Regions from separate parts of the Mus musculus genome. Here all the other regions are reported to be linked to region 2. The links are microRNA targets in miRTarBase. Many come from high-throughput screens and were not tested one by one. Region 2 holds a microRNA gene; each other region holds the end of a gene's coding sequence.
The links. The annotated mature microRNA mmu-miR-340-5p reads UUAUAAAGCAAUGAGACUGAUU and lies in region 2 at 1,413-1,434, shown strand. An mRNA with a match to its seed (bases 2 to 7 or 8) in the 3' UTR can be bound and repressed. Matches are read on the target gene's strand: a 7mer-m8 pairs with bases 2 to 8, a 7mer-A1 pairs with bases 2 to 7 and ends in A, and an 8mer does both.

Region 1: miRTarBase lists Cyth3 as a target of mmu-miR-340-5p. The part of its 3' UTR that is shown has no 7-base or 8-base seed match.
Region 3: miRTarBase lists Pak2 as a target of mmu-miR-340-5p. Seed matches in the 3' UTR shown: 7mer-A1 at 4,399-4,405 and 7mer-m8 at 2,368-2,374.
Region 4: the mRNA of Entr1 is a reported target of mmu-miR-340-5p. Seed matches in the 3' UTR shown: 7mer-A1 at 2,109-2,115.
Region 5: the mRNA of Txndc5 is a reported target of mmu-miR-340-5p. Seed matches in the 3' UTR shown: 8mer at 1,020-1,027.

The regions. Positions count from the first base shown.
Region 1 is chr5:143,706,507-143,713,149 of GRCm38, reverse strand. Cyth3 (cytohesin 3) reads right to left here. Exons shown (of 13, transcript NM_011182.4): 10 at 5,990-6,066; 11 at 5,840-5,911; 12 at 5,601-5,755; 13 at 2,900-5,317. The coding sequence ends at 5,245. Usp42 (ubiquitin specific peptidase 42) reads left to right here. Exons shown (of 18, transcript NM_029749.2): 17 at 1,162-1,200; 18 at 1,808-2,825. The coding sequence ends at 1,169. Among named protein-coding and RNA genes, the nearest start is that of Usp42, 22 kb to the left of the region's middle.
Region 2 is chr11:50,068,308-50,073,307 of GRCm38, forward strand. Mir340 (microRNA 340) reads left to right here and starts at 1,395; the gene lies at 1,395-1,492. Rnf130 (ring finger protein 130) reads left to right here. Exons shown (of 9, transcript NM_021540.4): 3 at 2,864-3,114.
Region 3 is chr16:32,015,078-32,021,720 of GRCm38, forward strand. Pak2 (p21 (RAC1) activated kinase 2) reads right to left here. Exons shown (of 15, transcript NM_177326.3): 15 at 1,213-5,189. The coding sequence ends at 5,103. Among named protein-coding and RNA genes, the nearest start is that of Senp5, 15 kb to the left of the region's middle.
Region 4 is chr2:26,379,154-26,385,489 of GRCm38, reverse strand. Entr1 (endosome associated trafficking regulator 1) reads left to right here. Exons shown (of 10, transcript NM_026563.3): 8 at 345-407; 9 at 669-808; 10 at 1,796-2,690. The coding sequence ends at 1,892. Snapc4 (small nuclear RNA activating complex, polypeptide 4) reads left to right here and starts at 4,837. Exons shown (of 23, transcript NM_172339.4): 1 at 4,837-4,941.
Region 5 is chr13:38,495,317-38,501,841 of GRCm38, reverse strand. It overlaps Txndc5 (thioredoxin domain containing 5), which reads left to right. Exons shown (of 10, transcript NM_145367.4): 10 at 134-1,576. The coding sequence ends at 256. It overlaps Bmp6 (bone morphogenetic protein 6), which reads right to left. Exons shown (of 7, transcript NM_007556.3): 5 at 4,471-4,547; 6 at 3,015-3,125; 7 at 1,528-2,923. The coding sequence ends at 2,774. Among named protein-coding and RNA genes, the nearest start is that of Gm31834, 29 kb to the left of the region's middle.

The sequences.
Region 1 (6,643 bases), not on the chromosome of region 2:
TGTACTCAGATCCCTGGAACTTGGAGCGTCTGTGAGTGTCACACAGTAGAACTTGGGCTATTAAAGCATTCTGTGCCCATATATGTTTTTATGTGCACATCTTTGTGTGTGTTGTACTAACTTCTGAACCCCTAAATGCACTAGTGTACCCCAGCTCCTAAGTCATAAATCAATAGTGTGATTGATCTCTAGAGGTGTAGCTGCAGTGTGGGGCTCTGGTATCCTTCAGGCTGCTGGTTTCTGGGGTGGTTCTTGCTGATCTCTAAGTGAGTAGGTCTGTATACAGCAGCCCCTGTGCCTTGACTTTCCTATGTAGTCCAGGCTAGCCTGCACTCAGAGTTTTATGTTAGCATCCTGAGTGCTGGGATTACAGTCCAGTGCCAGTGTGCTTGGCTGCTTTCTCTCCGTGAACATTCATTCTCTCTGGACAGGAGCATTGGGCTTGTAGAAACTGCATAGGCTGTGAACATCGGTGGGGCTAGTGCAAAGGCTGGCAACCTGCAGCCAGTCTAGCCTGGAGTTAGGAATGGCTCTCAACAGTTCAAAGTGCAGAAGACTGGCATGTGTTCACAGCGAGCACCGAGGTGGGAGGGTCAGGGTCAGTGCACTGTGGAAGCCCAGGTGCTATGTGTTAGCTCTGGTGCCACTCAGTAGCAGTGGACATAGCCTGTCCACTGAGACGTTTCTCATCACCTGGCCCTTGATATAAAAAGCTTGACAATTCTGCCTCGGACACCCAAAGATCATGGTCACAAATAAAGGACATGTGTGTCACTACAGAGATGTGGGCATCTTGGTGACCCCGAGTGGAACCTTCTGCTCCTTGGCAGTCCATTCATACACTGCAGCTGGATCTGCAGCTAGACACCGCTGCTCTGGGTCTGACACCAGCCCTTCCTCCAGCTCTTTGTATGACTCAGCTCATTGCTTCAGCCTGAAAGGATGGTCACCCACCCGAGAATGTGCAGCTCTGTGCTGGGGCTGAGACCTGGTCCCTCTTGTGTGGCTCTTGACGGTCCTGTGCCGGTGCTTTGTGGCACTGCCAGCTCATGCTGCTATCCGAGTGATTTTTCAGCAGCTGATAATGAGCTGTAGGAACTGATTATCGTTAAGTCTGCAGAACACACGCATAATAAAGATGTTCCTTACTTTGCCTTCTAGGTGACTAAACAGCCTTGGCCTTACAACAACAAAATTACGGTAAGCAATTGTCCCCGTTTTGGTCATTTGTGGAAGTGCTGAGTGGATATAGGTGGGTTTTCTGGTGAAAACCAGGGGTGGTGAAGGGGAGGGTCCTGGCGTGTCTGTGCCTCTAGGACTCAGTCACTAGCTAGCATCCAGATGTGGAAATTGTGCTAAGAAATGGAGTTAAGTATCTGAGAGCAGAGAGAGGCCAAACAAGGGTCAGGGTATATCTGGTTCCTAATGCTGGTGTTGTGTTGTGTGGCCCTGAGACACAGGAACTCAGAGCCCGAACTCTGTGATGGAGGGCAGGTCTAGTCAGCAAAGGCTTTAAAATGAGCTGCTGCTCTCGCCTCAGCTAATTCGCAGGCTTCCTCCGTGTCATGGAGACAAAGCCTCTGGGCCTCTCTCCTCCTCTGCCCAGTGAACGTGGTGTCTGAGGGCTGAGTGATTTGCAGCTTGGGGCCCAGCAGGTGGCGCTGCCCTGGCATTCCAGGGTTCTCTACTGCAGTTCAGGAAGGTAGAGAGGCAATTTCAGGAACTTTCAAAAGCCTTGGGAACACATCCAGAGAGTGTGAGACCAACCTCTGTTCGTCTAATGCCTGCTGCACCTCTTATCTTTCAGATTCAACATTTTGAACAGAAGCCATCCCCAACCCAGCTTAAATTATAAACATAGAGAATAACTTTGTCCGAACTGCGTGGTGCTTCTTTAGTACATACTGTACAGAGTTTACCATGGACAACTGTTTCTTTTTTCTTTTTTTTCTTTTCTTTTTTCAGTTTTTACCTTTTCTTAATTGCCCTTATTCCAAACGGATACTTTCTACACTGCTGAACATTGTAAATTACCGTGTACATAAAATCACACTGACAATAATGCCCTGGAATAGACCATCTCAAATGCTGCTTAACCACAGACTCAGGTTGACTACTTGTATCTCATGTAATGTTCCTCCACGCTAGACACCTGGTGCACGGCCAGCTGGGAACCATGGACTTCAAAAGGACAAGCGACAGTGCGTCTATTTAAATTAAAGACTTATTTAAAGACCCAAGCTCTCAGCGAGACCTTCGAGGGCTTCCTCTGCAATGTCTGATATAGAAACTAATTTGTTCACATTTTAGTTGTATTCAAGATTTGAAGATGTATTTTATAGACAAGTTCTGTTTTTGAACTTTGTGGAACTATTCCAATCAATTTACCAGTTATGATGAGTATTTGCATTATGAATGTATAATCCAGACATTATTTGTAAAGCCTACAGTATGTTTTTTTTACCTAACACTTTTTATACTGTGTCTCGTCTCGACAATATGATATTGAAGTCTGAGTCGTCAGCTTGATCCCTTCAAGTTTCTAGTTACAGACAAAAATCATACTGTGATTTTATTTTTAATATGGATATGCTATAAAACTGTGACACTTATAATTCACTGGTCCTGCATCAGGAGACGGGAGTGGGGAGAAGACTGTATTTAATACAGTGTGTATCTGAATACTCTGTATGGTTTATACAGTTTGTGTTGTTCAGAGATGTCTAAAGTTGATCTTTGTTTTTTTAAGATTAAAAAAGCACTTGCCCCACTGTATATATACGGCATGTAAGATTTATATAGTATATAAATGGCAGCAAATTAAACAACCGTCTCAGTTTTACTCTGTTCTCCGCAAGCTCATAGCCATGTCTGTTTTAAAGAATTGAGTCTTAGGCAGTTTTGGTTTTAGCAGTATGTTTTTATTTAGGGAACACAGTATTTGCAATAGTTCTGACAGCCGTAAGGCCCTCCATTTTACTAGCTGTTTGCTTTGCAATAAAATAGCCAGAAATTCTGATATCAACATTAATAGGATATTTCTTCATGCAGGTTGTAGGAGTATATACATTGTATAACACTGAAGAAATTAATACATATGTACATTATTTACATAGTAACTATTTATTGTAAATAGAAATGTTTTCTAAGATAAAAAGAAATCACAACATGGTTTCTGGTCTGTAACGACCTAACTTGTCAGCAAAGCACACCTGTAGCTCTGAACTCAGCATGACAGGAAGCACAGTAAGTCCCATCCCCAGACGGTTCCTAGTTACTCTGCAGTACCACATCAAGTCTTCTGAAACCCAGGAATGATGCCCAGGGCCCAGCAGGACAGGGAACTGTCTTTGGGCAGAGTAGGGCTTTAATGCTTCACTGACGAGTGCAGACAAAGGGTGAAGGGCAGGAGTGCCTGAGCCTTTACAAGCTCTGGGAGTGGCAGATGCCCTTGGGTTTAACACTGTCACAACATAACCTGAGTTAAGTGACTCCATGTGGATACTCCAAGAGCCAGTAACTTAGGATTCTTAGCACCAACAGCCATCAGGCAAGGTCCCCTCAAAGATGACTATGGCATCAAAGACAACATTAGGTAGCCTCATGCTTAACGTCCTGACCTCAATATCCCACAGAGAGCTCTGTTGCCCAGGGCCACACCTGGGTTGAACATCTGACCGGCTCACCATGGTCCTGATTGAAAAAAATGCCAGTTCCTACCTCCCTACAGGTGCCCCACCAGCAGTAAATTCAGGTCTGGGGTGGGGAATAGGGGATAGGGATCATGGAAGACTGGAAGCCAGGCTGCATACACACCAGCCAGGCAGCTCAAATGCAAGGGTTTCAGATTTGAGGTATCAGTAAAAGCAAAGCCTAGAAGCTTGGGAATAAACCAAAAAGTGATCAGTCTGGTGCACGAGCGAGGGAGCTCTGGCCTGCACATCCTTCTGTGCCATCTTAGATGGCAGCTACCACCAAGGTCAGGCAAAAAGCCTTAAGACAGCTCACTGAAAGTCTCGTGTAAGGGCATTTGGTTGGCGGTTTTCAAGGGCTCTCAGAACACCAGCTCCACGTGCAGGGGAAGACCATTTTCCAAATAAGCCATGAATGGGCCCTCTCATCTTACCCAGTCTCAGCCCAAGCACATATGCCCTGAAGGCATGCACTGGTGTGTGTGTGTGTGTGTGTTAGGGGTCTGGATGTCACACGTGTCCCTCAGTGCCATCTTCAGTTTTTCACCTCCTCCAAAGGATGTCAAATGTTGGAAAACATGGCACTCCAGAGAACAGGTGGATTACTTCTGGCTGCTTCTGCTTGCTTACTACATCAAAATATGTGTTAGCACTTAACCCAAGTTTGAAACAGCAAGCAACAAAAGTACCAAAGTCATGAGCCATGTGCACTCGGACCACATGAAACTGTCCTGTATGAAGGTCAGACAAGAGGAGGTTCTGCACATAAGTGGCCTGTTTTCCAGAGAAGGAACTCCATCTCCAGGCCTTGGCACTGACAGGATAAATACCCCGGCCATAGCTGTACCTTACTGATTCATCTTAGAGAAGCATGTGAGGGGAAGTGGCAGTCACGCCTGAATCTCCCAAGCACACTGCTCTCCACACTCACCCCAATGCCTCTTCACCCAGCTGACACTCTGTCAGGATGACTGTGCCCCAGCTGCTCTGGCCCCAAGTGCATGGGGGCTGCATATATAGACTGTTTTCAGTGCACAGTATATACGTGTGTCCAGGAGTTAAGTTTATAGCTGCCATTCTAAAAATACTACTGTTAGAAATTAAGTATCTTTCATTATAATTTTCAGAATATAAAAAGGCATATAAAAGCTATAATCCTATATATCTGAGAAAAATTCTGAATAAAAAAGTGGTAGGTTTTCCTTTCCCATTTTGATATAAAACAGCGACTTCTAGAACATCTAGTGTTGCCCCAAAGAGCAGGTGTGGCATGGTGTGGGTGAGGCTCTGGCTCCAGAACAGGAGTCCCATGTGGGCTGTGCAGATCTGGAGGCTGTATCACCAGGTGCTGTTGTGGACAAGGGTCCCCAAAGGTCAATGCCAGGCCGGTGGCAGGAAGGAGACACTCCCAGCTGACCAATGTCCCAGAGCACAGGCTTGAGGGCTCAGGCCTTGGCTGGCTGTTCTGGAGGGCCCGTGGGCACCACATCGTCCCCGGTCCTGCCGCTGGGGAGGCCAGTGTATCTGCTGGAGTCTGGATCCTGACATTTACCTATTTCTTATTGGCAATCCTCCTTTTCCTCGTGGCCAACATGTCATAGAACGGGTCCCTACTGATGCTTGCTCTGGGGAAGAAAGGAAGTAAAGTGGGCTGGAGCTTCGAGAAGGTCTGGCTGCCTGCCTCACCCACAGCTTCCCAAGCAGCAGGGTCAAGGGTGAGTTACCCAGGCTGGCCTGCTCAGTTGCTGACACACTGAGTAAAGGCATCCAACATGCATACACGTGCCCACACCCCTGACATGCAAACACGTGTCCACACACCCCTGACATGCACACGCGTGTCCACACACCCCTGACATGCACACGCGTGTCCACACACGACTGAGCAGCCTGGCTGTGCCCACTCACTTGATGGACTTCATCCACTCCTCCTTTTCCTCCGGGCTGGGGGCAGAGATCCGGTACACAACGTGGTTGCCCTCCACCACACGGCCATCGGCCTCCGTCTTGCAGGCCTTGATGACTTGACCTTTGTGACTGGGGTTATACAGCTCAAAGCAGTTCTGACAGAGAGAAGGGGGTGAGTGTCAGGGGCGTGGGGGTTGGGTAGGGTGGAAGGCAGGCCGCGGGCACAGGGCAGCACGTACCGGCTTCCGGGGGTCCTCCACCTCCCTGATGCTGAGGTTCTCCAGGGGGATGATGCCCCTGGGCTCCTTGTCCTAAGAGAGAGGCATGTGAGGCAAGGCCTGACAGACACGAGAATGCCAGGGCTTCGGAGGGTGTGCGGCCTCACTTACCGTGGTGTACTCAAAGTAGTAGAGGCAGTTATCTGTGAGGATGAACCAGCGCCGTTTCCAGGTCTTCACACGACCCCCTAGGAGCAGAAGAGCCCTGTGAGGCAGGTGTCCTGGCAGCTGGATCCCCAGGGCCCAGAGTGGGGCCCAGAATCCCCTACCCCATATCACTGCCTTGATCAAAGGCCACAGGAGCCAAGCTCATAGCTGGGCTTCCTTCCTCTTCAAACCATCCCATATGACCACAGTTATAAGTCAAGGGCAAGCCATGAGGCCTGACCATCCAGGATGGCTGGGTGCAGGGCTGGGGCCCCCATGCACCCCCACCCAGGGCCCACGCAGGAACTCTTTCTCCATGGCCACCCAGGGTCACCCTAGGTCACACACTGATTTAAAATCTGCTTCCTGGAAAAGTTAGTTGTAATGGATGGGTGTAATATTTCCCCCGTGAAATGAACACGATGAAGTCAGTGCCGGCTCACACAGGTCTGTCCAGGCTTAATCCTGTTACGTCAGGGTTGTTATCGCATTACTGGGACTCTGAGCAGCCCTGGGATCCATCAAAGTCAATTACTCTTGGCCCAGGGAATTATTAGATTGAATTAATCTTTTAACAAGATCTGGAGCTACACACACACACACACACACACACACACA
Region 2 (5,000 bases):
TGTTGGAAGAGGAGTGTATTAGTAGAGTCCAGCTTTGAAAGTTTAAAGATTCCCAAAATTTACTGCTGTTCTCTCAGCTTAGTGCTTATGGTTCAAGATGTGAGACTGGAGAGATGACTCAGAGGTTTCCAGGGCATTCTTCTGCTCATGGAGAGAACCTGAGTTCAATTCCCAGCACCCACAACAGGTCTCTCACAACTGCCCGTATCCCCCCTTCCAGGGGGTCTGTGACTCCTGGTCTCCACAGGCAACTATAACTTGCATGCACAAAGCTACACACATAAACACATAATTGAAATTAACAGTGTTTTTAAAAAGGTGTGAGTTCTTGGCATCCAGTTCCTACCTACAGTTTGCTGCCATTCTTCCCCACCATGATGGAACTATAAGCCAAACAAGCCCCTCCTTGTATACGTTATGTTGGCTATGATGTTTAACCACAGCAGTAGAAAAGGAACACATAGCTGCATGATTGTTGAACTCCAAAGCCATGTCTTGGTGTTTCAGAACACAGGCATAGGGGTGATCTGGTCACATTCTTTGTATCTGTTTAATGTTTCCATTACTTCAGTCTAATTAACCCCTCTCTCCTACCAGCTACTGCTACTCTAATCCTAGTTTTATCCTGAGGGTTAAGTTTCCTCTGTTGTCATCATCCCTCCTGAATCTGCACCAACTCTCCCAAGAGTTTTTTGTTTTGTTTTTAAGGTTTATTTACTTTTTTATTGTGTGTGTGTGTGTGTGTGTGTGTGTGTGTATACCTGCATGAGTCTATGTGCACCATGTGTACAGAGCCCTCGAAGGCCAGAAGAGAGTGTCTGTTCCCTCTAGAATTGGAGTTACAGTAGTTATGAGCTGCCATATTGATGCTGGGAACCAAACCTCGTCCTCTGCAAGATCAACCAGTGCTCTTAGCCATCTCTTTAGTCCCATCCCCATTTGTAAATGTCTGAGCCATCTTGTTAGGCTCTTTGAACCCAGCCCAGCTCTAGATGTTGGGGAGAAAGAAACTTTTTTCCTAGGAGGGTTTGTAGTTTGCTTCATCACCTTCTGTAAGAGATCACTGCCTTCACTAATATCAGATGTGCTGCTGTACTTTTTTATTTGATCATTTTCAGTCTCCTTTGGCAACATTGCCCAGTCTCCTCTTTTTGCTAGGATGATAAAGCTACAGTGAGATCTATTCACTCTTGTCCTCCTAACAGTGAATATTGACAAGTGTTGAACTAATTAAATTTTTCTTTCCCAAACAGCTTCCTGTTGAGATTAGTTGACGCGCCCATTTAGTGTTCGGTTAAGGAAATTACTGGATTGGTTGCCTTGGCTACCTGTGCAGCTCTCCCCACTTCCAGCTTGAGTCTTCAAGAGGGAGCCTCAGAACTGATTTCTAAAACCAATTGTACTTGGTGTGATTATAAAGCAATGAGACTGATTGTCATATGTCGTTTGTGGGATCCGTCTCAGTTACTTTATAGCCATACCTGGTATCTTAACACCACAGATCATGCCTGTTGATCAACATTGTAAAAGCACAAACTTAAGGTTTCTAAATGGAAATTTAAACTGGTTTAGCATTCTTTTATGATTCTTTTTAACTCACTCACCAGAGGCAGATGTTAACTTAATAATGCTAGTTTTAATTTTGTTGTCTCCTTTTTGTTTATAGATTTTTTAAGCAAAAATAAACTGGTAAACTACTACTCTAATAAAGTGAATAAACCGTTTTGAATACAGTATTATGCAAATATATATTCCATTGAGCTATATTTTTTTCAAAACTTCTGTTACTGAGTTTCTGTTGTGTCTCATCTTGACTGCTAAAGGTAACAAGAAATCAAAACAAGTGTTTCTAATATTTGTTGACAGAGCCTTCAAAAGGTCAGGTCTGGGGTCTCTGCTTGCTGTTTTGAGAGGGTATTTTGTGTTTGGATGCACAATCCTCCTTCATACTCACAAAAGTGACCTTGGTGAGTAGCTGCTCACTCTGACTTAAAACAGGCCCTTGAAGCCATGTGAGAAAAGGACTTGAAAACACAACTGAACCATCCTTGTAATTAACTTATAAAAGTTGTGCCTGTGGGCAGAACTCTGAACAGCTTTTAGGAACTGAAGGTTTTAGGTATCATTATGGGTAGTAGTCCAGAAAGTTGAAACTTGGGCCTGCCTAGAGGATTTGAGTGCGCTGGGCATGGTTAAACAAGGTGGAAAACTAACATAAAACTCAAGTCTGAGGCTAGCCGAGGCAATGTGAGATGCTGGCTCCAAACTGGGTGGGAAAATTGTTGCGTTTGAGCTCCAGAAGTGCCCTGGAAGGAGCTTTACTGTAGACAGAAGACCAAAGTTAGTTTCAAAGGTTGTTGGTAAAAGATGTTGCCGTTCGGCACTTGTCACTCCATAGCCAAGTGTGTGCCCTAAGAAGTACCCTTCTTTCTGTTTCTTAGAGCAGTCCTTGCTCAGCAGTGCGTGTGAGGATGAGTAGTGCAAGGACCACCTGTTCAGACTGTAAATGACAGTGCTTCTCTGTCAGAACTTTCCAGATTGATTGCTATAGAAAGGTTTTCTACTGAAGACTTAACCTGATTTAGTCACAGGTGGCTGCTTTCACAGTGCTTCTAATGCACCGGTAAGGCAGTTTGTGCATTGTTAACACCACAGTTGCTTTATGCGTTACCTGTTTGGAGCACTGTACATGTTCTCATGCCTGTCAGTTTACACAGCTGCAGCCTCATGTCAGTTGAACTGGAATCTATAAACCTTAGTGAAAATTATGGTAATTTCTCTATGGAGCATATGTGTATATTTATTTGATGTGTCTATGAATTTCAGATGTCACTTTAGTCTGTGTATTTGTTTTACATTACAGGCACGGGAGATATTATTGCTGTCATGATAACAGAATTGAGGGGTAAGGATATTTTGAGTTATCTGGAGAAAAACATCTCTGTACAAATGACAATAGCTGTTGGAACTCGAATGCCGCCAAAGAACTTCAGCCGTGGCTCTCTAGTCTTCGTGTCAATCTCCTTTATTGTTTTGATGATTATTTCTTCAGCGTGGCTCATATTCTACTTCATTCAGAAGATCAGGTACACAAATGCTCGGGACAGGAACCAGGTGAGCTAACCAGTACTCTAGCCAGCCGTAATCCATGAGGATCTTGTGATAATACTTGTTTATGTCATATATTTAAAAACAAGACCAACAACAACAAGATAAAAACATGCCAAGTATGGTGCTGTACCCTGTAATACCTGCACTCGGGGTTTTGAGGCCAGTTGGACTACGCAGGCGTTCCAGGCCATATTCTATCTCAGTTTTAAAAAGAAAAAGAAATGAAAGAAAATGTTGTTCTACATAATCACACTGTAACTATCAAAGTCAGTAAATGAATGTCCTTTCAGTACATTTCCTGACCTATCGGCTCTCTCAGGTTCTCCAGAACTGCTTAGAAGTATCCTTAAGGGCAACAAAAACCCCAGATTAGTTAGGCCAGAATGTGTGTTACATTTAGTTGTGCTGTCTCTTTACTGCTTCCTGATACTGGCATCTCAGAAGAGCACAGGTCTGTGTCCTGTGTCTTGTGGTTTCGGTCAAGGTTGTTTGCATTTTGTCAGCATCACCAGCTCCTTTTAGTATTAGGGTAGTGGTAACCTTGCTCTTATTTATTGAAGCAATAGAGATCCATTTCCCAAGTGGTTGCATCTTGCCCAACAGTAGTGAATATCACAGCACAGATCCATGGCTGTACTGGGCCCACTGATGTCTTTAGAGCTGTCCTGTTTAATATGTGCTCATGGACATGTGTGCTTCTGTTCAACTCCATTACATGCAGATTCATGTACTCAGCACAAAAGCTGTAGGACAGGTTTGTTTGTTTGTTTGTTTTTTGGTAAGGAAAGGGTCCAATATTCTCTCATAGCCAGAGACTCTCCCTTCCCCTAACCGTTCAGCACCACTAACTTAATCTTCATCTAGTGCCATTTCAAGAGTGTTGAATAGACAGAGTGTACTTCACCTGGAGAGCTGTGTTTCTTCTTTGTTCAGCAGAGTTCCCTTGAAGTCCTTCCAAGCTGTACACATAAGTAATTTTCTTTTTATTGCTGAGTACTATTCCACGGTATGGATGTACTATAATTTACTTAGCTATTCACTTATTGAAGGATAGCTGAATAATTTTCAGCTAGGGAGTCTAATAAATTAGCTATGATGTTCATGTACTGGTTTTTGTCTGACCATGAGTTTTCATTTTCCTAGAATAAAAGTATAATACTGAATAAATAAATGTTTAATTCAGGTTTGTTGTTGTTGTTGCTGTTTTTAAAGTGTGCCCTTTTCCAGTGTGTGGCTGTTCCAGTTTCTCCACATCTTGACATGATTTGATAGAATAACACTTCTTTTGTGATTATAGTGTGCATTTCTCCCATTGTCACCTATATGAGCATCTGTGTGTGTGTGTGTGTATGTGTGTGTGTGTGTGTGTGTGTGTGTGTGTGTGTATTATGTCCACTGCACCCAAGTTTGTGGGTACAGAAATGTAGTTTCATGTCTTCATACTTGTATAGCAGGCACCATGCTGACAGCCATCTCCCTACCCTGAGCATATTTTCAAGTGCTTCAGTGAAATGTCTTGAGTCTCTTCCCTGTTTTCTTCCTGAATTCTTTGTCTTTTACTGTTGAGGATTTTAAATCCTTGTCTCTGTGCACCACTTGCATACAGTCACCTTGGAAAATAGGGAGAGTGTTAGATATCCTGGGGCTGGAGATACAGGCAGTTGTGAACCACCGTATGGATGCTAGGAATTGAACCCAGGTTCTCTGGAAGAGCAGCCAGTGCTCTTAACCACTCCTTACCATTGAGTTTTTAGACTCTTTATGTATTTAGATATGATATTTGCTATGTCTGATAATGTGCTTTAAAATATTTTCTTCCCAGTTTGTCTATTCAGTCACTTTAATAGTCTTGAAAAACAAATTGTTAAGGATTTTCTAATTTTGGTAAA
Region 3 (6,643 bases), not on the chromosome of region 2:
CCCCCCCCAGACAGGGTTTCTCTGTGCAGCCCTGGCTGTCCTGGAACTCACTCTGTAGACCAGGCTGGCCTCGAACTCAGAAATCTGCCTGCCTCTGCCTCTCAAGTGCTGGGATTAAAGGCGGGCGCCACCACTGCCCGGCTAAAATGAAGTACTGTTAACCCTCAAGCTATCTCTCTATCCCCTACCTCAGCTTTATAGAATTTTTAAAAAAAGATTTATTTATTATTATATGGAAGTACACTTCAGACACTTCAGACACCCCAGAAGACACATCAGATATCATTACAGATGGTTGTGAGCCACCATGTGGTTGCTGGGATTTGAACTCAGGACTTTCGGGAAGAGCAGTCAGTGCTCTTAACCACTGAGCCATCTCTCCAACCCCCTTTATAGAACCTTTTTAAATTTGGAGCTTTAGTATAGAGTGTGAACTTGTAATCTCACTCAGCACTTGGAAGGTGGAGGCAGGGGGATCAGAAGTTCAAGACAAACTTTGGCTATGTATCAGATTCAATGCCAGCTTGGGCTACATGAGACTATTTAAAAAACATTTGGTACCATGACACTATTAACAGGTTTAAAACATTTACCCTTTAAAATACTAGCACACAGAGCGGGGATATAGCTCAGTTAGTGGAGTACTTGCCCACATTGTGAAATTCAGGGTGTGAGCATTTGTACTGGATGGAATTGGATATGGGGTATGTGTGTATGTGAGTCTTAGCTATTTTTATTTATGTGGAACCCTGTCCCTCCTGTCCCCTTCAAAATACTAATATTTTCTTTGAAATTTATTTTTAATTTTTTAGAAAATCCTTTATTTTATGTGCACTGGTATTTTGTCTGCATGTATGTCTGTAGAGGGTGTTGGATCCTCTGCAACCTGAGTTGCAGATGGTTGTAAGCCACCATGTGGGTGCTGGAAATTGAACTCAGGACCTCTGAAAAAGCAGCTTTGATCTTATCCACTGAGCTGTCTTTCCAGATTCCTCCCCCCACTTTTATTTTCAGGATAGGTTTCTCTGTGTAGCCTTGGCTGTCCTGGAACTCTGTAGATCAGGCTAGCCTCTACCTTCTAGAGACCCGCCTGCTTCTGTCTCTCAAAGTGCTGGTATTAAAGGCGTGTGCTACCACTGTCCGGCTGAAAATCTGTTAAGACTTTTAAATATTTATGCTTTTATGCTATTCTGACAAAAATGGAAATTTAAGAAAAGAAAATGGACATGAAAGTTTATTTCTAGCCCTGAAAGAACAAAATTATTCAGTCAACAAATACAGCAGTTATAGCAAAGTACAGTTGATTATGTTAGATTAAATTAAAAATAGAAGGCAATATAAAATCTGAAAACAAAATAGAAATAGGCTTTTTACCCAACTCAATTTCTACCTACCAAAACAAGGAAAGCAAACCAAAAAATAAATACATAAAAAAGTGACTCCTTTCTTTGAACTTCAACTAATTGTTTTTCTTGACGCAGAAATAGCATGTTTGACAAGGTTATCTGTTTTTAGCATAGGGTAGTGAATGAGAAAGACTTGAGTTCTTTCAAGACCAGGCCAATGCTTGAATCTGTTCGTAACTCTAATATCAAACACAGCATCTCTGCCAGAGTGGTCAGCGGATGTACTGATAAGAGAGGGAATGTGTGGGGATGTTTCCTACACGCAGCTTCAGAAAAGCCACTTCACAGAACATCACACATACGCATCACAGAACAGCGCTGACAGAGCAATCTGTCCTGTCAGTGCGATTGTTAGAAAACCAAAAGGAAACATTTAACAAGATTTTAGCAATTTTTTTAAAATTTGAAATTATACAATACTGTCAAGTAGTGGCCTAGATACTGTTTTTAGTGGAGCACGGGTTCAAGCTTGGGGCTTTGTGCATGATAGGCATGTGACTCACCACTGAGCTACACTCCTGGACCCATTAACTATATAGCCTGAAACGACATTAGAAAAAAGTTTAAACAGGACACAGTGGTGCATGCCATTATTCCACTACTGGGCAGCAGAGGCAGGTAGATAGCTGTGGGTTCCAGGCTAGACTCATCTAAGCTAACCAGGCCTATACAGCAAGACTGTCTCAGAAAAGAAAGAAAACATTGTATTATCTATGATAACCGTGTGGGAGCAGGCGGGGGGAGTGTCTGCTGAGGTCAGATGCCAACGAGAAGGAATTCCTTCTCCTGATCTAGTGGCTAGGATAAGCAGACACTGCCCCTGCCCAATGCTCACGGGGCCCATACATTCTGACAGTTTAGTGATTGCAGATCTCAGTATGCTTCTAAGATTTTCATATTCAAAACTGGATGCAGCCTGTTTCAACACCTACCTTCTAATTCTAACCATGGTCTGATAAGGTATAAAGCATGCAGGCAAGAACACAGTGCATACACATGAGCCCATGAAGAGATATTTCGGCATAGCACATTTAGGACTGGTGGTCACTGGACAGACAGCTGTCTGTTGAAGGGAACTCAATGCGTGCAGACAGAGCTATGCTGGTCATGGTGCAGCAAGCTGCACTCACGCTCCTTCTAACTGCTGTGGGTGGCTATGGTGCTCTGTAAACAGAGTGCAGCAGAAGGAGAGAAGATGCCTTTGCGGCCACCACAAAGACTGCAAGGTAATAAATAAGTGGTAGGGCAAACAGTTCCTAAGGACACAAGAGGACTAAGGGAGGCTCCAATGGGGATTCTTACTCTAAGAGATGGCAAAAGAGGGAATACAGAGGCAAGTCTTTAAAAAAAAAAAAAAAAAAGAATCTCAATTCATACAATTGTCTTTCAACAGGATCTCAAAATTTTAATTTAAAATTAACTAATAAATCACAATTCTATATTGCTTTAAAGATTATTCTGTTTAAAAATGACACATCTCAAAATTAACCATTACGATTAACTATTCCAGGTTAGTTTGTCCAGGTCAGGAGAGAATAAAGCACAGTGCAGCTCCCTTAACCTTGGAGTCAGGTTTGAATGACAGAGTCCGTCGCCAGCAATGGACATGTAAATAACCATCCAAGAAATTCTAAGGACAAACCCCAGACTGCTTCTGTGTGGACAAGCCGGTGTGGAGTCACAGCCTAAGGAGGGGCAGCAGCCTGTGTCCCCGGTGCTCTCGAGGATTGAGGATGGAGCACCTTCTTAAGCAGTGCCACCATGTAGCTGGCTTTCTTCTATGCTGGCAGCACTGTCATCACAATCTATCCAGACAGCGGCTCACAAACAACACTCACAGCCAGAACTCAAGAGGCAGCCTAGCTTCCCACCACAAAGAAACCACTTTATTCCTGTAATTTAGTGAAAGCTGTAGGAAAATACAGTCCAGAGGAAAAGGAGCTCGCATGGAAAACAGGCCAGTAAGTGCTCTAGATGTTGACTTTTGCTGAAAGCCCCTAGTGATCTCTTCTTATCCTGTATTCTAATGGGAACACCAGGAAATGAAACCCTGCCCCTTCCCCCAACCCAAAGAGCAAACTTACTCATTTATGATTTGTACTCTGCAGAATGGCAGGGCGAGTATGTGTCACGTTCTTTGAAAGGGGATGGTGGGGACAAACCTGAACCAACCACAGGGATTTTCTTTCCTATGGTTGCAGGACCATAGGATAGACAGCAATACCTCCTCACAGGCAAAACAACAAAGCAATACAGAGAAGCAGAGAAGAGGAAAGGCAGGAGTGGGGAGAGGGCAGCTAACAGCTACTACTACAGGTCACAGACCTTTTATTAAATCTTTAAAATAAAAGTATTACTAACAATACGAACACTGCAGTTTCCTTTCTCCAGTTTGTTTTTTGTTTTTGTTTTTTTACAATGAATACCCTACTCATTTGGAAAAACAAACACTAAAGTACCCAACACCTCAAATGATCCATCAAGTACTGCACTATTTCATCTGTCATAAACAGTAAAACATTGATAATGGGTCAGGAACACTGTAGATTAGATGAGTCTTTACAGTTTACTGTCAGAAACTTCACCTCTACAATATTGACATTTCATTATTACAACTAGCCTAGAACTCACCAAGGTTCAAATCTCACTTGGTTTCTGCTAGTCCCAAATATTTTTCCTTTTAAATAGGAAAAATCTTTTAACTTTTAAATTCTGAAAATTCAATGGTTATTACTTGCCCTAGAGGGTGGAGGGGGTGTATGTGAAATAAGGGTTGATTCAAAACGGACACCTAAAATCACAACATATACAGACACTTATTTCCAAGGAAACACAGGAAGGGAGTGGCACCAAAGTCACACAGCCCGCGTCAACAAGCGCAGATCACTTTGGTTCCTAAAGCCAAATATGAGGAGAAACAGGCAGAGAAAGACTACAAAATGGTGAGAATATACAGTCAGTGGGATTTTTCTTCTCTGTATCAATGATTTAGTTATAAATATAGATTATTAGTCCTCTTTCTATACATGTAACAAATGTCAAACTTACTACCACAAAATTTCTAAAGCTGACTCTTTCACATTTGTTAAAAAAGGTAAAAATCACATACTTTCCCCCTTTCAGTTTAGGCTCTGAACTGAAACACTCCGCACACCAGCCGGTCCTGACTTCTATAGGAAGCTAAGCATGTCAAGCTCCTTTCCCAATGTAAAGAGCTACATCAATCATTTTATCACATCTGCCTTGCATTTAGGCATAAGAAAAACTCCGAACGACAACTTAAAAGGAAAGGGTTAGAGGAAGGGAAGGTCACGAAGGAGAGAAGATCAGCAGATGAAATACTCAGAAAAACTTGAATCTGACATTCAAGTATGGGAAATCCCCCAGGGGAGACAGGAACAGGATCTGCCATACTAAAAGTCATCACACAGTATGCGAACGTCAAGCGCGGTCTGCGGGACATGTAAGGCTAGTGATGCAGTCCACCGTTCCTCTTGGACCCTAAAGCAGGGGCTCATTTCAAAGTCATAGCTCTCTTACTGCAATTTTCTCTTGGTCATCTTTAGAAAATAATAGTTTTTTTTTTCCTCCATGTGATGCAGACTGTCTCTTTACACCCCTCAGAGTAACAATTTCATGTATTAAAAGACTTCTTTTAAAAAATGGATAAGGGAATAGGAGGCCTCGGTGACGATGTTAGCGGTTACTCTTCATTGCTTCTTTAGCTGCCAGGATCAGTGGCGTCAAGCTAGACAATGGTTTGGCCAGTTTCAGGAAAGGATGCTGCCAAATGGAAGGGAGAGAGAAAGCTTAGAGGTGTTTCTCATTTAGAAACTCTAGCCCCCAAATTACCTCTGGATCATTTAACAAACTAAAGCCCTCACACGCGGCACATCACTTTTACAGCCCCAGGAGGGGTGGTTTGTGTGTGGTGAATGAGCTTGTTTGTGGCTGTATGCTCTCATCTTATCTGTGTGCATCTGTGGAGACCAGAGGTCGCCAGGAGCTCTCCTCTGACACTCTCCTCTGTCACTCTTCCCCGTATTTCCTGATTAGGCTGACCAAACAAGCCCCGGGGGTCTGTCTATTCCCTCAGCACGAGGGTTTATAAACATATATAGCCACACTTAGCTTCTTATGTGGGTGCTAGGGATGGAAACTCAAGTCCTCAAGTGTGTAGCAGGTACTTGATCAACCAAGACATCTCCCAGCCCTGGTTTTGGCTTTCTGAGCTAAGGTGTATATAACTTATCCTGGCCTCTAACTCACAGCAATCTTCTTGCTTATTACCTAAAAAATTACCCCCCCTTTTCTCCCTCCTTCTCCTTCTGTTCTTCCTCCTCCTCCTCCTCACTCCCTCTCTTTCTACTTGTCCATTTTTTGAGACAAGTTTTCTCTGTGTAGCTCTGGCTGTCCTTGAACTCAAAGATCCTTAAGTGCAGGATTAAAGGTATGCACCATTACACCTGGATCCTTTTTATTTTCTTCAATTACATTTATTTAGTGTGCAACTGTGTTTATGTGTGTGTGTGTGGGGGGGCAGGTTCTAGGGATCAAGTCTAGGCATGCAGGCTTAGTGGCAAGTACTTTTACCCAGAGAACCATTTAACTAATACCAAGTAAGCTGCTAGCTGCTTACCATCTACAGACTTAAGGGGCCGGAGAGATCCCTCAGAAGGCAGAGCGGGTGCCTTATCTGCATAGAGCCCTGGGCTCAATCCCTAGCACTGCCTAGGCAGGACGCTCAAGATCATTCCCTGTCTTTAAGCACACAGTGAGCTGTAGGCCAGCTTGGGCCACATATAAAGAAACGAATAAAGAAACAAAAATTAGTTCTTCAGAGTTAATAGTCATAAGTATACTCATGACAGAAATGAACAGGTCCAAGAGTGATTAATTATAGAAACTTACTACTATGATAAAAACAAATTATGGAATTAAACATACTTTTTTAAGGGCCAAAGAGATGGTTCAGCAGATAAAGGCCCTCGCTAACAAGTCTGATGACCTGCATCTCTGAGACCTACGTGCTGGAAGGAGAGCATCAACTCTTGCAAGTCTCCTTCATGCAAGTCTGTATGCGCACATGCACACACACACACACACACACACACACACACGCATACATATACACACACACACTCATACACACACAGAGTTAAATTCTGAAACAAACTTTACTAGCATAAGTGAAAGCCTAAACTGCAGTAGCTGTTGGACTCCTGGCAGGTAAACAG
Region 4 (6,336 bases), not on the chromosome of region 2:
GGGCTCCGCTCTGGGGTAGTGGGCAGGGCCGGGCTGCTGCTGCAAGAGAGCACTTGTTACTGTTGCCAGAGTCCACAGCTGGACCCTGAGCTCAGCAGGCGGCTCTCACCGTGCTGAGTGTGTGAACTGTAGTGGGCCAGCATACGCTGACACTGTGAAAGGGTTCTCTATCGGGGTGGGTGGTCCCTGATGCTGGTCCCAGGGGTGGGCACCCATGGGCAGGCACCCATGGGCAGAGGAATCAGGAAGGTAGGTTATAGCGCACTGCTGCCTCCTGAGGTAGGTGTCCTGTATTAACACAGCCTTGGTGATGTGCATTGTGTTTATTTTTTTGGGGGCCACAGAAACGGGCTGTAAAAGCAGAAAATCATGTCTTGAAGCTGAAACAGGAAATAAATTTGCTTCAGGTAAGTAAAGAGAAAGGTTTGGCTGTCATACATGTGAGTTCAGGGAGGGAGAAAATAGTGTAAGCCAAGCACAGCGGTCGGAGCAGTCAGGAGGCTGAGGAAAAGGATAGTTGTACATTTAAGGCCAGCCTGGGCTACAGAGGCAAGAAGCACCTGTTTTGAACAGGCCAGGGCCAGGCTGGTCCCCGTGTCCAGATGTGTGCCCGTCGTGATGCAGAGGCTGAATTGCCTCGGGAGCACTAACTTCGCCCTTCTCTCTAGGCCCAGCTCTCAAACTTGAGGCGAGAAAATGAAGCCCTGCGGTCAGGCCAGGGTGCCAGCCTTTCTGTAGTGAAGCAGAACACCGACGTGGCCTTGCAGAACCTCCACCTTGTCATGAACAGTGCACACGCATCCATAAAGTGAGTCCCCGGGCGGCCTCTGGCTGGACCAGCAAGGGAAAGGTGCTGACCGGCTCAGTCATACTATAGTCAATCAAGTAAGAGTGGTCTCTTGTTTTGAGACAGGGTCTCACTCTGTAGCACTGACTGGCCTGGAGCTATGTACACTAGGCTGACCTTGACCTCACACAGATCCTTCTGCCTCTGCACTCAAGTGCTAGAGTTCAAAGCATGCACCCCCTCACCTGGCTTGGTTTTTTTTTGAGGGATTTTTGTTTTGTTTGGGTTTTTAAGACAAAGTCTCCCTGGCTTCTCTGACAGTATGTGTAGACCGGGTTAGCCTCAGACTCAGAGATTTCCTGCTTCCATTTCCCAAGTTCTGGAACTTGAGGTATGCATTATCATGCCCGTTTTAGGATTTTTATTTTTGATGTTCCAGAGAACCTTCCCACTAATAGGTGTGGATGATGCCATGCCTCTGAATCCAGCTGCTTTGCCTGTGTACGTTGCAGCTCTAACTGAAGGGGAGAAGTCTGCCACAGTGAGCATACTGTGAGCTAGTCAGTTGGTGATGATAATGGTGATTAAACACTCACCAAAGCTGCAGCTTGTTAAACTTGTCAAGATGTAGTTAATTCATCTGACCTATTAAACACAAAAGCAAAGTAGTCCCCCTGGTAGAGCTCTCATGACTAGATATGGGACTTGCGGTGGGACTACTGCCCACATCACTGAGAGTACTGCATCATCAGCTTGGCCTAAGCAAAGAGCAAAATTCAGAATCAGTTTCTGATGAACTTATCTGGCTTGCAACCTACCATCTTTAGTTGCCTTCCCTAAGCTTCACTATAGGGTGGCTGGCCTGTGCACAGGCACATGGGCCAGAGGGCAGCCACACAGAATCCAGTGTGGCAAACCTGGTTGATAGCTCTGGGCTCTCTCCTTTAGATCTGTCTCTGGCTGCCTTTGCACGGCTGAAATAATGGCCCTGGTCTCTCTCTGCTTTAGGCAGCTGGTGTCTGGGGCAGACACACTGAACCTTGTTGCTGAAATCCTCAAGTCTATCGACAGAATTAGTGAAGTTAAAGATGAGGTGGACTCTTGAGACGCTCTACCTGCCACCGGGTCCCGTCACCTCTGCACCGAAGGCACCACACATCTTCCGAATGTGTTCCTGTCTATGCAGTCCTCATCAAAGCATTTCACGGCCTAATCATGTGACTGGCCATCTGCAGTACGGGGCTCCTTTCCACCAGTTGAACCTAACAGTTTACATGAAGTCCCACTGTTCGATAGACTCACTGATTTACTGGAAGACACTTTTATAAAACCACTAAAGCTGAAACGACAGTTTTGTAACAAGCTTCTTTCACCACCCTCTCTAGGACGAGGTCGGGCTCAGCCTCAGTGTTGTCAAGTGGAACACGAAGTGAGCCAGTGTGTAAGTGAGCAGCCTGTACAGAGACGCGTGCCTCACTGAGGCAGCACCGCTTGGTACGTGCTGCCGTCCTCCCACCAGGACCATAGGACCAAGGTCACACACTGTGCACAGTGCAAAGCTTCATACACCCTCTACTGTGTGCTGTCAGCTTTGGAAAGCCATTTGGGGCTGTCGATTTTGATGCACGTTAATGTGTTTGTGTGCCTTTTGTATAGTGCAATTCAGACTGGAATTAAAGCACACACCCACCTGGGGGGTCAGCACCAGCTCTTTGGGCTGGCTGGCTGGTTTTTGAAGGACAGGCAAGACATAAGCAGCTCCCTGTGCTGTGCTGAGGGGTCAAGGTTTGGGGGCCACTTTCCTATAGGTTGTTTTTTTGTTTTTTTTTTTTAATTTATTTTCCCTTTTCCCCTCCTGTTGAGATCAACAGCTTTCTGATCTAAATAAATCTTAAAGATCATTTAGACTGTCTTGTCATTTACTCAGGGATTCATGCTTGAGAGCTACCCTGCTCTTTTAACTTCAAGGTCTGCATCTGAAGATATTCCTGCAGGGTAGTGGTGGCGCACGCCTTTAATCCCAGCACTCGGGAGGCAGAGGCAGGCGGATTTCTGAGTTCGAGGCCAGTCTGGTCTACAGAGTGAGTTTCAGGACAGCCAGGGCTACACAGAGAAACTCGAAAAATCAACAAACAAAGGATATTCCTGCCATTGCTGGGTTATCGGACCCTCAAGTTCTTGACCCTTGGAGTCAGGCATTCACAAGAGCCACTACATCAACATATCACAACATATCACATACATATCACAACATATCACATACATATCCCAACATATCACAGAGCCACTACATCAACATGCCGGATGAGCCACATCCTAGCTTCACACTAAGGCTGGGTGGATGGACGCCTAGCAACTAAACCACTGGGCCCTTTAACTCACAGCTTTTTAGAAGCTGTCCCCACCCCCAGAGCAGATCGCAGTGCAAGGTGGCGGGACACAAAGGAAGACCAGGCTAGTGTTCCCTCTGCTCACAAGGCTTGAGTCAGAGCTGCCATCAAGAGGAACCGTCAGCCTTTCTCCACCACTGCAAGTGAACCGGATGAGAGCTGCACAACTACACTACTCTCAATTTACGTATGAAGTGTTCCTAAAGTTGTACAAGCACCATAGAGCATGGTGGTACATGCCTTTATTCAGAGTACCAGGAACAAAGACGATCCCAGTTCTCAATCAGTCTGTTCTACATAGACTGTCTCAAGAAACAACAGTACCCCAGGGAAATTTGCCTGATAGTTCTTACCAGGCTTGCCCCACACAAGTTCCTACACCAGGAACCTACAGGTTTCCTTTAATGCCCCAGACTCCCTCTGGCCAAACCCAACTCTGGGCCAGACTTGATATGACTCTTATTTTCTTTTTTGAGACAGTGTCTATATAGTTCTGAAACTTGCTTTGTTGTATATCAGGCTGGATTTGAACTCACAGAGTTACACCTACCTCTGCTTCCTGAATGTTGGATTAAAGGGATGCACTATTACTCTTTGATTTCATGATTCTGTACCCACTCCAGTAGTGTTGCAGGTGACTTCTAGCTTGTAGTCAGTTCTCCATAAGACCAAGGCCCTTCCCAGGTCCCACAAACTGGCCAGTCGCCAGGCTTGGTTTTCACCAGCCTTGAGCCTCAAGCCACTGCCATGCTTCTCCTACTCACAGGCATTATTAGGCACTAGGAGGACCCAGCTGCCTAGGGAGAGTAGAATTAAGGAAGCTGTTAAGAATTAATAATGGAGAGAAAGTACCCAAGGAGCTAAAGGGATCTGCAACCCTATAGGTGGAACAACATTATGAACTAACCAGTACCCCGGAGCTCTTGACTCTAGCTGCATATGTATCAAAAGATGGCCTAGTCGGCCATCACTGGAAAGAGAGGCCCATTGGACTTGCAAACTTTATATGCCCCAGTACAGGGGAACGCCAGGGCCAAAAAGGGGGAGTGGGTGGGTAGGGGAGTGGGGGGGAGTGTATTGGGGACTTTTTGGATAGTATTGGAAATGTAAATGAGGAAAATACCTAATTAAAAAAAAAAAGAATTAATAATGGGCCGGGCATGGTGGCTCACGCCTTTAATCCCAGCACTGGAGAGGCAGAGGCAGGCAGATCTCTGAGTTCAAGGCCAGCCTGGTCTACAAAGTGAGTTCCAGGACAGCCTGGGCTATACAGAGAAACCCTGTCTCGAAAAAACAAACAAACAAAAAATTAATAATGGATAATTATTGGTATTTTGTTTCATAAGAGTGAGACCGACCCCCCCCTCCCCGCCCTCCCGCCCCCCCCCCCCCACTACTTAGCCAGCAGCTCTGTGATGTGTTGGCCAGGCAGAATAATCCTTAGTGAATGAATGTCCATTTCTGGCGGTCCCAGGTTGTGGGCTCCGAGGACGACACACACGGGAAAGTACTTAACGACACACTGATCATTCATCCAAACCCAGAACACCAGGAGCTAAGTACACAGCCCAGGGAACCTGGAGAAAGATGAACGCCTCGCTAGGGCCCCGCCCCCCAGCACACCTCCTAGCATGCCCTGCGCCGCAGCCTGGGTGGGACTTCCGGTGCAAGCCTACTGACTTCCGCGACTGCTAGAAGCATGATCTGCGTGTGGTCGCCCGGGCGATGATGCCAGCTGTGAAGTTTGGAAGGGATGCCTAGAAGGTGAGGATTGGCGGGCGGCAGGTAGCAGGCGTTGTGTCCAGGAGGGGCAGGGCAGCCAGCACGGGGAAACCGAGGCGTGGCGTGGCCGCGACATTGCTGGAGTGGAGAGCCCGCGTCCGGAGCCCAGCCGAGGTCCCCTAGCTGGTGAGATGCAGGACCGGATTTGCTCCGTGCTGTGCTCCGAACCGCTGCTCTAACCGGTTGCATGCGCTGCAGCACCACCGGCCACCCCTGGCTTATCGAATCCAGCCACTAAGGGTGCATTGGACCCCAACTGCCTTGCCCGGTTAGGCCTTAGAAGGGACAGGCAGCAAAGTGTCTCTGATGTCATTAAAGGCGGACCGTGGCTCCCAGCTCAGGACTTGAAAACGTGACTTTTTCTTCCTTTATGTGGGCGATGCTGTGGGAGGAGATGGAATTGCTGCTGCCTCAAAACACGTTACTCTTTCGTTGGTGGCCAAGCATCCAGTGGCAATGATTATTGCTACATCTGTAGATCCCGCTGTTTCTAGCCAAGTTGGTTGACAAACGTTCCCTGTATAAGTAATTGGAATGTCGTTGAAGGGGATTTTGTTTTGTTTTGTTGTAGTCAGTTAAGACTGCTGTCAACAACTTAGTAGGAAGAAATCAAACAGGATGTTTTTCTTCATTTCTGGCTCTGGGTGTGAAAATGTGTTTGATAATTTTGTTTGAAACAGTATCTCACTAATGGTTTGAAATGCAGAGATCCACTTAGTTATGCCCCCCAAGTGCTGGGATTTAAATTATGTGCCATCACACTCAGCTCTTTGTTTCTTTATTTTGGTTTTTGGTTTTTTGGGTTTTTTTTTTTTTTTTTTTTTTTGGGCGGGGGGGGGGGGGGTGGATTTTCCGAGACAGGGTTTCTCTGTATAGCCCTGGTTGTCCTGGAACTCACTTTGCAGACCAGGCGGGCCTCGAACTCAGAAATCCGCCTGCCTCTGCCTCCCAAGTGCTGGGATTAAAGGCCTTTGCCACCACGCCCGGCTCTTTATTTTGTTTTTGAAGACAGTTTCTTTTAGAGCTCTGGCTGACCTGGAACTCACTCTGTAGACCAAGCTGGCCTCAAACTCAGAGATCCCCCTGCCTCTGCCTCCTGATTCCTGGGATTAAAGACGTGTGTCACTATACCCGACTTCTACACCCAGCTTTTTACAGTTATTATACTTGTTTATTTCCTTGTGTGTAGGTAGATGTGCCATAGTGGGGGAGGTCTGAGGGAAAGCTGGAGTAGGGTCTCTTCACCATTGATTACTGGTCCTGAATTCAGGTCCTTAGGCCTGGTAGCAAGTGCCTTTGTATGGTGTGCCATCTCACCCACCTGAGCTTGTGTTTTCTAGAATCATCTTTCACACTTCTCTTCCAAATTTCCTTTGC
Region 5 (6,525 bases), not on the chromosome of region 2:
ACTTTTTGTACATGGATGCTGGAGAACCAAATTCAAGTCCTCATACTTACTCTGTGTGTGGCACTTTACAGACTGAACCATCTCTCTCTCTGTGTGTGTGTGGCTTAAAGCACTCTCTCTTTCTCCTTTAAAGGTACGAGGTTATCCCACGTTGCTGCTTTTCCGAGGAGGTGAAAAAGTGGGAGAACACAACGGAGGTAGAGACCTCGACTCCTTACACAGCTTTGTTCTGCGCCAGGCAAAGGATGAACTATAGGAGACCCCGGGGAAGTCATCCAGCCTGGGCTTAGGCGTGACCTCACACAGACACACGTGTTTTCACTGTGGTTAGTCAGAAAGCTGAATGTATTGAGCTTGTGTTGCTTCCTGTGTGCTCTCTGAGCCACCACACACTACGGACCTTAAGTTTCTCTAATCATGGCTCACAGTCCCTGGGCAAACCAAACGTTTTCAGTGGCGATCCATCCTGTAACCCTTCTCTTGACAGAATTAAATTGGCTCCCTTTGCAACTTAAAATACAGTCAAGGAAAGCCAAATTGCTGAACTCTGCTGGCTCCCAGGGATGTAAGGACATCATCTCGCAGGAGCAATTTGTTGCATTGCCTGAGTTTTGGGAAGGAGGCCTGCGGCACTGTTGACTTAGTAAGGTGTCGGTCCATAGTGTACAGATTTCAAAACAAAAGCCCACAGAGCCCTGGAGATCCCTTCATAGCCACTGCTGGGTTCCTGGGTCTCATTACTTCTCTAGTGGAGAGAGGTAAGCCATAACAAATGGTACTTCTGATGTGTGCCCCAAATACTCATGCTGTTCAAAGGATCCTCTTGTCTGCTTCGCATAGGGTGGAGTGTGGAGATGTACGTCTTCTGCAGAAAGGGAGGGTATGGGATGCACCACAAGGTGGGTCCTCACCCGATAGGCTTTCCCAGGTCCAAGGACCAGGGAGTCTCTGCAGCTCCTCTCGGGCCTTCCTAGAAACAGCTTCTGATTCTCTTCCTAAGTAGTTCTTTTAGCAGCTCGCTTTATAATCTCCACCTTAAAGGAGGCTGACCATCTCTCTAATGATTGAGCAGTGGGATTCATCTGACCTCCAGACCAAAGACTGCAGTCGGCAGGGCTGCCCTTGCCTAGGAAGCCCAAGGTTGGATATCGCATGGCTACTTCCGGTTCCCGCCTTCCAGGTTATTAGACGCCGCTGCTCGTAACTCTGTGAAGATGCAGCCCACGTCATGCCTCTGTCTGTCTTGTTCTCAGAACCACTGTGTTTGTGCCCAGGCCCTTCACCTACCTCCCACGAGCGGGGTGAAATCAGCACCTGGCACAAGACGTGTAGCAAGGAGACTTGAAACCAGACCACGTCTGCTTCCAAAACATCAGGAGCAGAGGCGCCCCGCCAGCCTGTTATGAACGTTTATTATTAATCACGTGTGGGTCACAGCTGTCCTTGGAAACCAGTTCTGTTGGCCCAGCTCACAGTGGCTTCAGCTTAGCATCATGGTCTTATATGAAAAGAAAACTCAAGTGGTACAATTTGGTTTATACTTTCTAAATAAACTTTTTTTTTTTAAAGAAAAAAAGTCTGGTCTTTGCTTAAATGTTACAGCAAAATGGATATAAAATAGACAATAAATTATAGTTTCTATTTACAAAGAAGGCTGTAAGTACAGTTACAGATTGTAAATGTATTATTTAATCAGTTTAGTATGAAATTGGCTTCCCGGTACATGATTGTGAAAAGGACATTTAAAAAATATTCTAAGATTCAGTCTGAGTCTTACTTTCTACAGGAGGAAATGGTGGTTTTGGTTTACACACAGCATGCTCACCTTGACAAACCCATTCTTACAGGCAGGGCCCTTCCCTCTCTGGGTTTCGGCTTTAGACTCTAGCCCTGAGCCATGGAATGCTTAGGTAGGGAAAAGGCAAAGAGCAGAGTTAGGGGTTACAGAGCCGATGTTGGAGCCAGTGTTCCTGATGTTAACACGCATGTCCAGCCAGGCTGCCCACGAGATGTAGAATCAAATTCTGCTGTTCTGTGGCTTAAATGACGGCTACGGCAGATGCTTCATGGCTCTGCCACAAAGTACGGTCTGTCTACTTTGGGTTCTAGTAAAGAATTCTGTGAGGGAGGGAGGAGGATGGGGTGGAAATGCTACAGTTTGTCTTGACAGAGATTAGTACATTCTCACACCACCGAGAGTCAACACAAAACACGTAACTACAACAGTAGACAGAAGGCACCTCCACAGAGCCTGCTGATGGCCAGGCTGCAGGTCCTGTGTGAGCTGCCCTTGCTGGGAATGGAACCTGAAAGAGTGCCCTTCTCCCCTCCATTCGGATGTCTGCAAAAATCTCCCTGGGATGGGTGCTGTAGAGCCACCACCGGGTCTTTCAACCCAGGGATATTTAATATTCCTTCAAGTTTACTCTCTACTTACACCACAAGCAGCTAGATCTAAAAGCTAAAACTACTCCGGGCGGGGTTGGGGGAGGCGAACATTAGGTAACTGCAGTTTCCAGGCCTGTACTACAAGCCTTCCAGCTTCCTGCAGACCAGCAACTGCTCAGTTAGGAACTGGGAAAGCCCTTGACAAGGTCCTCATAAAAGCCTCCGTGGGTAAGGCACCAGCGGGAGATGTGTCTGCGTGTCACGATCCCTCTGTGTGTCACCATCCCGCTTCGCTGTGCTGTTGTTCGTGGTTTAAGGCAGATGTTGTTGTTAGGAATCCAAGGCAGAACCATGCCCCCACCCACACACACACACCAGCTTCAACTTAATGGCAACCACAAGCTCTCACGACCATATTCCTGTACTTTTTCAAGATGACATTGGAGTTATCATCGAAGTAAAGAACCGAGATGGCATTCAGTTTGGTTGGTGCGCAGCATGGTTTGGGGACGTACTCGGGATTCATAAGGTGGACCTGTTTCCAGAATAGAAGTGTGGGAGGGCACTGTTAGAAATGACACCAGATCTAGGCTCGATCCCATTTACAGCCGGGTTGGAGCACTCACCAAGGTCTGTACAATGGCGTGGTTGGTGGCATTCATGTGTGCGTTGAGTGGGAAGGAACACTCTCCATCACAGTAGTTGGCAGCGTAGCCTTTGGGTGCAATGATCCAGTCCTTGAGATAAAGCAAAAGGAAGCAGTGAAGGATCACCAGGCAACCCTATTCCATCTGCACTCTCAGTGGCCCCAAGAGAAGGCTTTGTCCGTGGTGCACAATATGGGGACATGCAGGGAGTTTTGGGAATTGCCCAAGTTCACATTCAAGTGAAGTTTGAGCCTGTTTGTCAGACCCTAGAGCTTCCAGTCTTTCTATGGGCTCTTAGCTGCTAGGAACCTGTTAGGTCTGGGATTAAGTGGGTGTGATGGTTTGTATATGCTTGGGCTGGGGAGTAGCACTATTAGAAGGTGTGGCCCTGCTGGAGTAGGTGTGACCCTGTTGGAGTAGGTAGGTCACTGTGTGTGGGGCCTTTAAGACCCTCATCCTAGCTTCCTGGAAGCCAGTATTCTGCTAGCAGCCTTCAGATGAAGATGTAGATTTCTCAGCTCCTGCTACACCATGCCTGCCTGGACACTGCCATGTTCTGATGATACTGGACTGAACCTCTGAACCTGTAAGCCAGCCCCAATTAAATGTTGTCCTTTCAATGACTTGCCTTGGTCATGGTGTCTGTTCACAGCAGTGAAACCCTGACTATGAGAATGGGTGAATGGCTCGAAGTACAAATGCTCCTTGGTTACACCCCAATAAAATGCCAGTTGAAAGTGCGCACAGTATACCTAATGTCCCGAGCATCCTAGCTTAGCACAGTGCACTGTGGGGCTGATCAGGAGCTGTAGCTTCTGCTGCCACCACTGAGGAGAGGAGACTATAGCCCAGAGAAAGGCTCAACTTCGAAACTCAGAGTACTAGATCCACTGAACACACACAGCTGAAACGTGGTCAGTTAAAACATTGGAAGCCGGGATCTGTTGTGTGGACTTGGACCCAAAGGATCCTCTGCAGGATCCCATTATGTTCCTGTCAGTCTCCCGTTTCTCATCACATCTAGAGCTGGACTTGGTGTATGGGCCAAACATGTTCTTCTATGCAGGGGCAGAGCTAGTTTAGAGCTACTGGAGAAATGCATCACTTTTTTTTTTTTTTTTGTAATCCTGTTTCAAAATAAAAGTTATTCAAATGTACAAATAAATATGCCCATCCCCTTGGACTTTGAAAGGATGAGGTAAGACAGAAGTAGGCCTTGGGTTTGAGGATGTCACAGAGCTTTGAAAACCCACAAAAGGACCAGGGTGCACCACTGGGTATATCAGCAGGCTGGATTTTCCTGTCTTAACTCCAGGGGGCTTGAACATTTGAGGGCTCCTTGGATTGCTATGGCAGCTCCAGGAAGCTGATGACAGCAGCCATTGGTGAGAAAAGATCAAGGCACCTACTACACCCTCCTTACCCTGAGACTCACCTGCCATCCCAGGTCCTGGAAGCTCACATAGAGCTCATGCTTCTTGCAAGCTGTTTTTAACTCACTGCCGTTGTAGTCTGTTGGAGGACATAAAAAGACACACTTGTTAGCTCATTTGCTCCTTCACTTAGAAACTTGTATGAAATGTTTCCTCTCATACATCCCAGGCAATGGATGAGGCTCAGGACAGCTGTTAGACACATGTGGCCCCTACAACAGCTCAGTTGAGCTTCCAGTTGTTTGCCCAAATTTAGAGCCACTGAAGAAATTAATCATTAATTTTTTTTTCTAATCATGTTTCAAAAGAAAAGTTGTTTAAGTGTTCAGACCCCCTTTGGCTTTGAAACAGTGAGATAAGAGTAGGCACCGAGTTAGAGGGATCATGGAGCTTTAGGGCACTCTCCTCTTTGTGTTTGCTTTGGATGATTGATTTAATTTGGATGTTGATTTAATGGGCACCTTTAAGCAACAGATGTGTGTTGTGTAATCTGCTTCACGTAGGGTTTACAGAGGGATGTGTGGAGATTTCCAGTGGACTTGAAAGATGATACACAGGTGGCTGTACTAAACAGGATTGACTATATTTCAGATGTGAACTATCCAGACATGGCATGGGACTTTGGAGATAGCTTCTGTCCCCCCCCCCCCCGCCCCCTGCCAAAAGAATGTCCTGAAGAAGTTTTATGATCAGGAGCCAACCAGGAGGCTCAGAAATGGAGGGAAGGGTGAGACCATGCTCTCCCATTGAGCTCCAGCCTCATTGCTGGGGTTGAGACCTATATATGTGTCCTGAAACAATCATTCCAAAATCAGCAGTTTCCCCCAAAACAATCTGTTGAACCTGCCTGTGCAGTTCAGGAGCCACTGGCCTGGCTTAACAACCTCTGCAGGAGACACGGGAGCACTTTGATTCATTCCAGCCAATCAGAAGAGCTATTTTGTGACATGGGGAGCAGATAGATGGATTTCATATAGCTATGCCCTCCAAGAATTGGAGTCTGAGCAAGGCTGTGAGCTACATGTACTCAAGTAGCTCAAATACAACTCAGAATACAAGTGGTATGGTCAAGGGTCATGGGTCAATACTCAAGGGTCATAGGTCAATACTCAAGGGTCATGGGTCAATACTCAAGGGTCATAGGTCAAAACTCAAGAGTCATGGATCAATGACTCCTGAAGCTTGTAGAAGGGACAATGGGAGTGGGGAACAGTTCTGCTGGGATGGACTGGAGGACTCATAAAGAGTTGGGAGATACAACTGGAAAAATGAATGACTCAGAATGCCAACAATGATGTGAACTTTTTATTAGAGACATGAAGGAAGACTTCAAAGGGGTTTGAACCAGCGGGCTCAGAGCTATGGTTTTAAAGGGCACATGGATGCGTTTGTTAGGTAGGAGAGGACAGAGAAGGAAGGGAGGATAAGGAGCCAGTTTTTGGAGGAAGAGTCTTCCTCTTACATGGTTAAGAAGATATACAGAATCCAGATCTCTCTCTCTCTCTCTCTCTCTCTCTCTCTCTCTCTCTCTCTCTCTCTCACACACACACACACACACACACACACACACAACCTCTGCCTTTGTCAATCAACTATACAAACCAAGGAGTTACCTCACGAATGTATTTGCACTAGATGTAAACACTTATCCTCTTAGAATTCCCAACCCCAAATCAGAAGAAAGGGTACAGAACTCAGAATTCTGTAAAGAAACCATGTCAACTGAGGCTAGTGGCCTGGGAAGAGAGATGTGGGTCAAGTATTTACTAATTCTAAATATACACACATCCACTCCATTGCCACCCCTGTCAGTTCCTATGATGCCTACCTGACCTTGCAGAACTCTCTCTCCACTTTAAGTCTACATGAGAAGGAAATTCAGAGCAACCATGGAGGGCAGTTCAGAGCAGGTATAGAGGATTCTCACTCTGAACCACCGCACACAGGCAAGCCCTTCCTGTTGGAAACAACCCTTCAATGAAAGAAACCGAAGAGGACACACAAATGAATGGGTTGCAGGTCAGGGTAACCTCTGGAGAAGGCTACAAAAGAAAAGT